Drosophila melanogaster: one gene and its partner. Changing the gene in region 2 together with the main gene of any one other region gives a genetic interaction. Each region holds a gene or a part of one and is shown on either strand. Other genes may lie near its edges. The genes, in order: morgue and rst.

Region 1 (4,202 bases), on a different chromosome or scaffold from region 2:
GAATTAGCTCAATTTCGTAAGGGCGCACCTTGTTGTGGATTTCCTGAATGCCAACTTCGCGGGTTCTAACATCGCGGCAAGTGGTTCCAAGATCCTTCATGCGGGCCAGCGCCAGTTCACGGAGATTTCCGTGTTCCACGCCGGAACTAAAATGAAGAAAAATGTCAGGTTTATTTAATATATATATCGGACAAGTTACCTAACAAGCGGCATGGGAATGTCGCGCTGTACGCGGTACACTCGCGTCCATGGTGGTACAAGGGCCAAAATCTTCGCCACTAAGTCCACAAGCATGGATGGCGGATATGACTTATATCGCCCGGTTTTCCATAACTCGTAGAGACCAGTGCCGCGAATGACGAGCGTGGGATAGATCTTTAGGCCGTCAGAGCGGAAGGCAGGGTTCTCAAAGTACTCGATAAACTGCTCGATGTCGCGTTCAAAGTCAACATTGGGAAGATCAGGCATCATGTGCGTCACGATCTTATAGCCAGCATCCTTGCCCAGCTGGAAGCTCTCGCACACCGCTCGCACCGTGTGTCCGCGGTTCGTATCCCTGGCCACGTCTTCGTAAACCGATTGCACACCGATTTCCAGCCGGGTGCAACCATAGCTAAGCATATCCGATATGTGCCGCTTTAGGCAGTAATCTGGCCTTGTTTCTATGGTGATGCCAATGCACTTTGTGCGTGACTTCTCCGAGTAGCGTACGGCTTCCGCCACATTGGCGCTGCTGTGGCCGGAGAGGGCGTCGTGTAGGTTGCGGATAAAGTAGTCGCGGTACTCCTCCGGCAGGCACATGAACGTACCGCCCATTACGATGAACTCCACCTTGTCCACACTGTGTCCCAGCTGCTTCAGCTGTTCAACGCGGTGTCGGGTCTGAAGAAAAGGATCGTACCGCGACCGGATGGCTCGCATCGAGGTCGGCTCGTAGCCTGTGTACGACTGTGTCGAGTACTCAAAGTCGCTGTCCGGTCCGCCGGGACAATAGACGCATATATTGCCGGTCATATTGATGTGCGGACAACGATGCGGCTTGCACATGACGGCGACCACGGCGATCTGGATTGAAATAATTGAAATGAATAGTACGCCTTGTGTAAGCAAGTGCGACTTACGCCACTTGCTGTGCGAATGGGCTTTGCCCTCAGCTTTGGAAGCAGAATTTTTTTGGCGTCCTGCGGCACGGCAGCAATTATGTCGACCAGGCGCGGCGAACTGTCCAGTCCATATTTGGAGGCCACCAATGATTTCATCCGATTAAGGTTTACATCCTTTTTGGCTTCGTGCGCCTTCAGCAGCTCCTGAATGATCTCCCCGATGACGAGCACCTGTCGTTCCTGGCGGCTCAATCCCACGCCTGAAATAATTGGCGGGGTAAACGGACGTTTAAAGAATTACTTTCGTAGCGACGTTACCTACCCAACTTCTTTTTTGCCTTCATTTTGCTGATGAATATCACATAAACTGCACGTGTGAAGTTAGCAGCACTTGTTTTGATTCGGTTATCGACCGACCAATAGTCCGATAACCACAACACTGTTTGACAGGTTTTGAAGCTAACACCACTTGGTAACACTTTTAGATGGTCTATCGTTTGTCGATTATTTATTTGTTTTAGCACCAGTTTCTCGGGAGTTCTGTAAAATGACTAGCTGCGTGCCAGCGCATCAGCAAAAGGACCAGGAGCAGTTGCTAAAGGAACTGGCCAGCAGTGGCGACGAGATGGACGACCCGGACGATCCGGACCAGGAACACCACCAGCTGGTAGAGCCGACCTTCTCTTTTTCGGTATGTATACAATAGGCTAGTTTCTTGCGGGCCGATTAATAAATAGCCTTTCCAATTTGCAGAATAGTAACACCTGCTGGGTGTGCAACGGCTACTATGGGCCCAACTTCGGGGAGCCGTTGTGCGGCGCCTGCCACGCCTTCCTGTACAACGCACAGCGGGCGGAGGAGCTGCTCACGGAGCTTTCCGATGACGAGGATTCTGGGAACGACGAGCCGCCGTTCAAGGACAAGCAGGAAGACGAGGAGACCGAAAACGACGTAGACATCATGGGCTTTGAGGATCTGGAGGACCCCCAACCGGCAGCCGTGCCACAACATCCAAATCCGCAGCCACCAATGGAGCCACAGGATCAACAGCCAGCCCAACCAGTTATAGATCTGCCACAGCCGGTGCCGGAGGCTGCGGCACCACGACGCGAGTCTCCGGAGCGCGACTTTGAGCACGAGAGAGCCATTAATCCCTTCCTGCTGCCCATTAAGCGTCCGCGGGCCACGGCTCCCTTGGCTCTGCCCCATTACATGCATGAGCTGGCCGATGGAAGGGCGCGAGTGCATGAATACAACGCCGCCAGCGGAAGCGGAGCAAGTGGCAGCAGCAGAAACATTGTCAACATAATACCCGTCGAGGTGATGCTGAAAATATTTGCCTATTTGGACGACATGTCGCTGTGGATGGCTAGTGAAGTTTGCAAGCAATGGCACGACATTGTCGGGAAAAACACGGCCCAGAGCATGTGGAAGGCGTATATCAAGCAGCGCTGGCCGCTGTTCGACAGTTTGGCAGACAATCCAAACTGGTATCGGCTGTACGGGGCACTGATGTCTTCCTGCTTCTGTCGCACTTGCCTGATTGAGATGGGCGGTCGGGGTCAGGATGCACAGGAGGCAGATCCACAGCTGGGCGATCGGGAGCCGGGCAATGTAATGCGCAACAACTTTCTGCGCGGTGAAGCCAATCTGCTGAACAGCTACGAATCTGAGGGCATATCGGCCATACCGTTGGATCGGCAAAACAACTACTGGCAGGCGACAATTCTGGGGCCACCGGGCAGTCCCTACGAAGGCGGCAAGTTCTTCCTGTTCATATACTTCCCGGAGCGATATCCGATGACGCCGCCCACAGTACGTTTCCTCACCAAAATCCTGCATCCGAATGTTTCGCGGCATGGGGACGTGGGCATCGACATCTTCCAGCAGCACAACTGGTCTCTGGCGCTGAACGTGGCCAAGGTGCTGCTTTCTGTGCAGAGCCTGCTGACCGATCCGTATACCGAAGTCTGCATGGAGCCTGAACTTGGATACATCTATGAGCACGAGCGCGAAAGGTTCGAGCAACTGGTGCGCGCGTGGACATGGAAGTACGCCATGTACGAGCTAATTGCACCGCGCTAGAAGATCAAAAGCCCTCCAAGGACAATGGACTGAAAGTTGGAAACTACCCCTCTTTACGTTGTAACTACATATGCCTGTGTATTTAGCTTAGTTGTGCCATCTGGATTGTTTATTTTGGCCTCCCCTCTCACTTTTCCTGCGCTCCAGGTTGAAACGTAGTCGAAATTACTTAACCTTATAATAAATGTATGCTTTAAGTTACGAGCGGCGTCGCCTCACTTCGTCCAGGACACCTTGGGGATGTCAAAGTGCTCGGTGAGCGTGTCCAGGTGCTCGTTGAATTTCTCCACGCGCTCCTTGTGGGTGGTTTGTGCCTTGTCCATGATTCGCTTGTTGCGCATCTTTTCCTGCTGCTTCTTACTGGCCAGCTCGGCCTTGGTGAGCTTCCGCTCGTAGCCACTGGTGGCGGAGGAGGATGTGGCCCCCGATTCCGCTATTTGCTGCTCCACGAACGCCTTCTGCAGCTCCTTCTCCTTGTCCTTGCCCTTGTGCTTCTTCTTTTTCTTCTTGAGATCCGAATCGTTCTTTAGTTTAAGCTTGCCCTTGGCCACGCAGGCGTACTCGTCGGACATGTCTTTAATGGGTTTTCAATCTGGAAATGGATTGGTAATGAATCCGATCTGTTTACGTTTTTCTTGTTTTTGTTTACACCAACTGCACGTTGTTATCTTTACATAATTTCTGATATTCGATGTTATTACCTGACCAGAAATATATCGATGGCATTTTATCGAATACATTTGAAATGTTACAAAATACGTTATTTTTGTTTGTTTTTTGTGGTAAGTTTCCTTAATCTAACAAGAAATAACTTAAAAACCTCTAATATAAATAAAAACAGTCCTGTAAGACTAAAAATAGTTGTTCAAGACATTACATACATTCAACTGTTAGAATACAAAATGTAAAACTTAAACGGTATTACCCATGGTAATTGAGATGATAAGCGAATAAAATCTTAAATTAACGAAATTAGCGAGCCTTGACGGCTAACTCCGGATTTTTTATCATTAC
Region 2 (4,989 bases):
TTGTTTGGGGTTAAAAAGGGTGTGCGTGATAGGGGAGCTATCTGAAATATTTAAGGACAAAACTTGTGCATGCATTTCGATTTTATTGGTAATATAGTGTTTCAAAATGCTGCAACAGAAATCCTATCTTGCGAATGGAATTTATGGGATCTGGCTATGAACCTTCTTATCGAGAAAGGCTTTTTGTTATAGTTTGTTGGGGTGTTTATAAACAATTTTGGACTACGCATATGTAGAGGAAATGCCCTGACTATGCAACAACGTTCGCCTTATCTTTCGTCTTTGTGTAAATTTAGAGCGCAATGCATTGATATTCCCATACGGCGGCCATAAATTACATGACAATTACTTGGGGAGCCGAAGAAAATCAGCGGTGCTTGGAAAATCCCCCCTCGAAAAGGCAAGCAATGCGTGGAAAGAGGCGCGAAGAGAGAGCGGAAAATTGGAAGAGAGCCGACACTTCATCACTCGCTCCGAATTTTCCGATTTTCCGGCGGTGCCTCCCTCACACGCGTAGTTTAAATTGCGTTCGCAGCAATCGTGCCATAAATTTCCCTTCCGAAACTTGTTTATTTTGGTCTTGCATGTCTCCAGTGCCGAAATCTTCCCATCCAACAGTCCATCTTCATCGCTGGTAGTATCTTTGTATCTTTTGTATCTCCCTATCTCTCGTGGAGCGCACAGCTTGTGTATCGATTCAATTATGGGAAAACTTAGAATCAACTCATCATGCAGTCGATTGATTAACAAGTCGCACCTAGTAAAATGGCTCCCACAGTGTTTGAGTTTTCAGCTGAGCTTGGCTTTACTACAAGTGTGACATTTGAAATGTTCTTAAGCCAACTAAAATTATGCATGCAGCAAAAAGCGCAGGAATGTTGGCACTTCAAAAAAGGGCTGCTTAATGTAAAAATTAAGCTAATTTAATGATAAATTAATAGCTTCTTTTTGAAAATCATGTTAAACACTTCTCTGTGTGGTTCCCATGGGATTTCCGCCGTTTTGTCAAGCCACAGATTTGGACTTTTTACTCAAATTGCTCTGTAGAGGACCATATGTCGCTCTTCACAGCCCTTCTGGCATTCCACAATCGGAAGAAAGACTGCAGATTTCTACCAAAACGGGAAGAATTGTGGGTGCGAAGAAGGAGGAGAGATTGGTGAACAGCTGCTGTCCCGACAGCATTGACCTCTTGACGGCCAATTCTCCTACTTTATCTCAATCTGCAGTGTTTAAAGGGTTTATACTTTATGTGATCTTTTTTTTTTTGTTTTTTATCTTCTCCGGCAACAGTTGGTGGTCCACACTTTTGGCGGAAGGTGGCGCTGCTAACAGCAAATCAGAGTGCAATTAAGGCCAAAAGACAGATGGCCAAAAATCGTGGCACATCGGCTGGCAATATCCCCAAATTTGCGTGCACAGAAACAAAAAAGATATGTATAGCGAACACTAAATTGATTCGTATAAATAATTTATAATATTTTTTAATATAATTTATACATTGCATCTGAAAACTTATAGTAAATATATGATATGAAAACATATATCCCATATATATGGGAATTTAAAAAAACATTGGCTGCCAAACATAATCCAAATGAATAACAACATAGAACAGAGGTTGCATCGAGCCGCGCTGTTAGCCCTGTTGCATGCTGTTAGAGCCTGAAACACCACTTGCAACATCATCGAACATGTTGCGTCGCTTTGTTTTGTTTGAAGACAAGCCGCGCCGGCCGAAGAAGTCGGATTTTTGGATCGAGTTCGCACTTCGTTCCGTTCGCTCGTACCGTTCGCTTCGTAGCGGCGGAAACTCCGTACTTTCGATAGCTGGTATCTCACAGATACTTTTCGAGACCCCGAAGACGAGAACTCGCATCGCATATTCGCCCGAGAAAACTCTCAGTAAATCTCAGATAATTAAAACGAAATATATAACTAAACGTCAATTTTTTTTTTGGTGCAAACGCAAGCCAAAAAATTTCATTTTGGTGTGGATTACCAGTGGAAAAGTGTGTGCTTAAAATGGAATAAACAAGGCTATCATAAAAACAAAGCCCGAAAAACCAAACAAGCTGAAAATTGTCAACCCAACAATTATGGATTAGTGCCAGTGGCCGGTCAGAGTCAGTTAAAAATATATATGCATATAAGAGGACTAAGGAGCCGAAATTGTTTAAATTGATTACAAACAAACAGTGTGAGTAAAAAAGTTCATCAGTAAAATCTAAAGAAAACTCCTGTGCTTTTGGCTTTTTTCATGCGCCAACTGCAACAGCTGCTCCCTCACTTTGACCTTTTCGTTTGATTTTGTTTATAATATACTGTTACTGGCCAAGTCTCCGCCTCTTTTGGCCCCTCAAAAGTTTCGCTTTTGGCCACTTTGGCATTTGGATTTCGAGTTTGCTTGAGTGTATTTTTTTTTTTTTCGAAGAAAATATATGTGTTTTTAATTGAAAATGGAAGCATGATTTTTGGTTGTAAGTAGACTTTGTTAAAGCAAAATTTATATTTTCCTTTCTGCCTAATGAAATGCCCAATGGCAAGTACTAGTTGCTGAAAATATTAAAATGTAATAAAATATAAAATAAATTAAATTACCATCTTTCGAATAACGTTTAGATCTTATCAATCTGAAAATGAGGTTTATTATACAAAATCTATGTTAAGTTGTATATCACAGATATACTTTCCCCTCTACAATAATAGATCTTCAACTCCAGACCTTGGACACCTAATTAGCTTCTTCTGACCATTCCATCCCTCTGAGCATCTATAGAAAAAAGTGCTCTTCTTAACTGATTCGATCTCTTCTTTCCTTGGTTTTGCATGATTTATGATTTAAAGCAATAACTTTGAAAAACAAAATGTACAAAGCTAGTCAACGATTAGGCATTTCGTAAGCACTTAAGTTGAAAAATTAATATTAAATGTATAGAATGATTTTTTGTTCGTATACAAGTATGTACACAAACAAAAAATCTACTTGAATATATGCTAAACAATGCTAAAATCATTCTGAATAATTTACGGCAAACGATAAACTTTAATGAGTATAACATTCAACTTCAAGTTTTAATCTACATAATAGGCAATGTATATTAAATGTGCGCTTTGGTGTAATTCTTTAATGCGTATATTTATTTATAACATTCGAATGGTATACCTATTTCAATGGTTTATTTCTGACATTTATGGATTAATTCATTTGGTTTTAAGTAAATAAATTTGCAAATACATTTAATTCCTTTTGTCATTGATTAAGTGAAATGCCAGTAATTCGACTCTCTTATTGACACATTCAAAAATCATAAATCAATTATTCCAAATCCAATAGAAATTTATTTATTACTCATAAAATTTTTCTCTGTGTAACTCCCCCCAGCTGTAAGCGAAGAAAATGTTGCTAGCGGCTGTGGTGTTAAAGAACAGAAATGCGAGCTAAAGAAGCTGAAGGCCCAGAAGCTTTACCAATACATCGATACATTGCACACAGATACTCAAACATCTGCAAATGCATATACAAGCGTATCTTCAGACTCACGCACCTGTCCCTTGTCATTAAAAAAGCAAGCAAAGTTTCAATCTTCTTTGGCAAGCTAACCTTTTACTTACTCTGCTCCATCCTCTGGGTTCATATATGTCGCATGATAAACACCGGAAAAATATTGATTGGCTGGGAGATTTGCTAAAGCACGATTAAGAAAACTAGTCTCAAAAAAAGTTAGTCTTTGACCAGAAAAAGTATTTGTTCTTTTTTTTTTTAATTGAAATTAACTTATTTTCATACTTATTTATCTTGATTGAAGCTCCTATAAATTCATTTTGAATAACGTTATTAAGTTTTTTGGTTTGAAAACAAAAAGAAAAAATATTTTTAAAGTGTATTTGGGAACGTGTGTGTAGCTTTTGGATTTTATAATTTGGCCCAATTTGCTGGCATTGCAAATTGCTAAAAACGTCTGAAACAATCGACAGGAGGAAATTGGGGAGTGTGGGAAAAGGATGGCAAAAGAGGCGTTCGGTAGGCGTGGCAGGAAGTGCAACATGCTCATGTCGCAAGTTGTTGCTGCCGCCTGTATTTCTCCTGCACTTTTTGTTGCTGTGTTATCGATTGGCGAGGCCGCATTTGTTGGATCGTTTTGACGCGTCCTCGTCAGCATGTCGAAACTTATTTTTCCTTTTCAATTTCGCCCTGCGATTTTGCATTTTTTTTGTTTTTTTTTTTTCGCCTGCCTGTCGCTTTGTTAGTTCTTTGCATGCCACAAATTATGTTCGTCACCCCCTTTTGCCCCACCGCGCTGGATGGATTACCTTGAGAGCGGAGCTGTCAGGCTTTTTGACAGTTTCTGCCGTATCGGTTCCACCGATTTGACTGCTGCGCTCATCCGTTTTGCCTGTTTTTTTTTTTTGTTTAAGAAAGTGCTTCGTTTAATGAATAATTGGTATTTTATATCATTTAGGTACAATAAGAAAAGACTTATTGCCTGGTATTTGCATCTGCCAGCTAATTTCTCATCTCATCTCTAAAAAGAAATGCAGACGAGGGCATTCGAAAGGCAAGCAATTTATCCCTTGGTTAATTTGGTTAATTGAAGACAATTGAGGGCCGCTTTGCAGTTCATTAAGCCTCATCAGCGTTGAGAAATGGGGCCCAGAATCCAGAAGTCCAGAAGTCCGAATCCCAGATCCAGTTCCATCTATACTTTCCATTTCCAGATCTGTTGTCTTGTCGCCAGACTAATTAAAATATTTGCACTCAAATGCTTAAGCAATAAATATTTGTCAAGCCATCATCATTAGGAGGAGGCTATAAGGGGGGGGGGTTCTGACCTCAAAACATGGCACTCCACTTTCTGGGGTGGGGGCAAAATGGAAATGGAAAATGAAAATCTATGAGAGGCGGCATTTTTAAAGTGCGCCACTTTGGCCTGCATTTTTGATGAGCTTTAATGGCGCCGCCTTAATGCAAGTGAAGCATGCAGGGTG

The links.
Region 1: of rst (region 2) and morgue, changing one enhances a phenotype caused by changing the other (phenotypic enhancement), as found in Drosophila melanogaster (one study listed by BioGRID).

The regions. Positions count from the first base shown.
Region 1 is NT_033779.5:4,442,056-4,446,257, reverse strand, and holds morgue (modifier of rpr and grim, ubiquitously expressed), read left to right. Parts: upstream 1-1,577; 5' UTR 1,578-1,650; coding exon 1,651-1,794; intron 1,795-1,856; coding exon 1,857-3,188; 3' UTR 3,189-3,388; downstream 3,389-4,202. Other genes in the region: Elp3 (elongator complex protein 3), read right to left, coding at 1-146, 200-1,065, 1,122-1,363, 1,426-1,447; CG15432 (uncharacterized protein), read right to left, coding at 3,404-3,760.
Region 2 is NC_004354.4:2,970,612-2,975,600, reverse strand, and holds the start of rst (roughest), read left to right. Parts: upstream 1-1,766; 5' UTR 1,767-2,200; intron 2,201-4,989. UniProt on the Drosophila melanogaster protein: Required for correct axonal pathway formation in the optic lobe and for programmed cell death in the developing retina.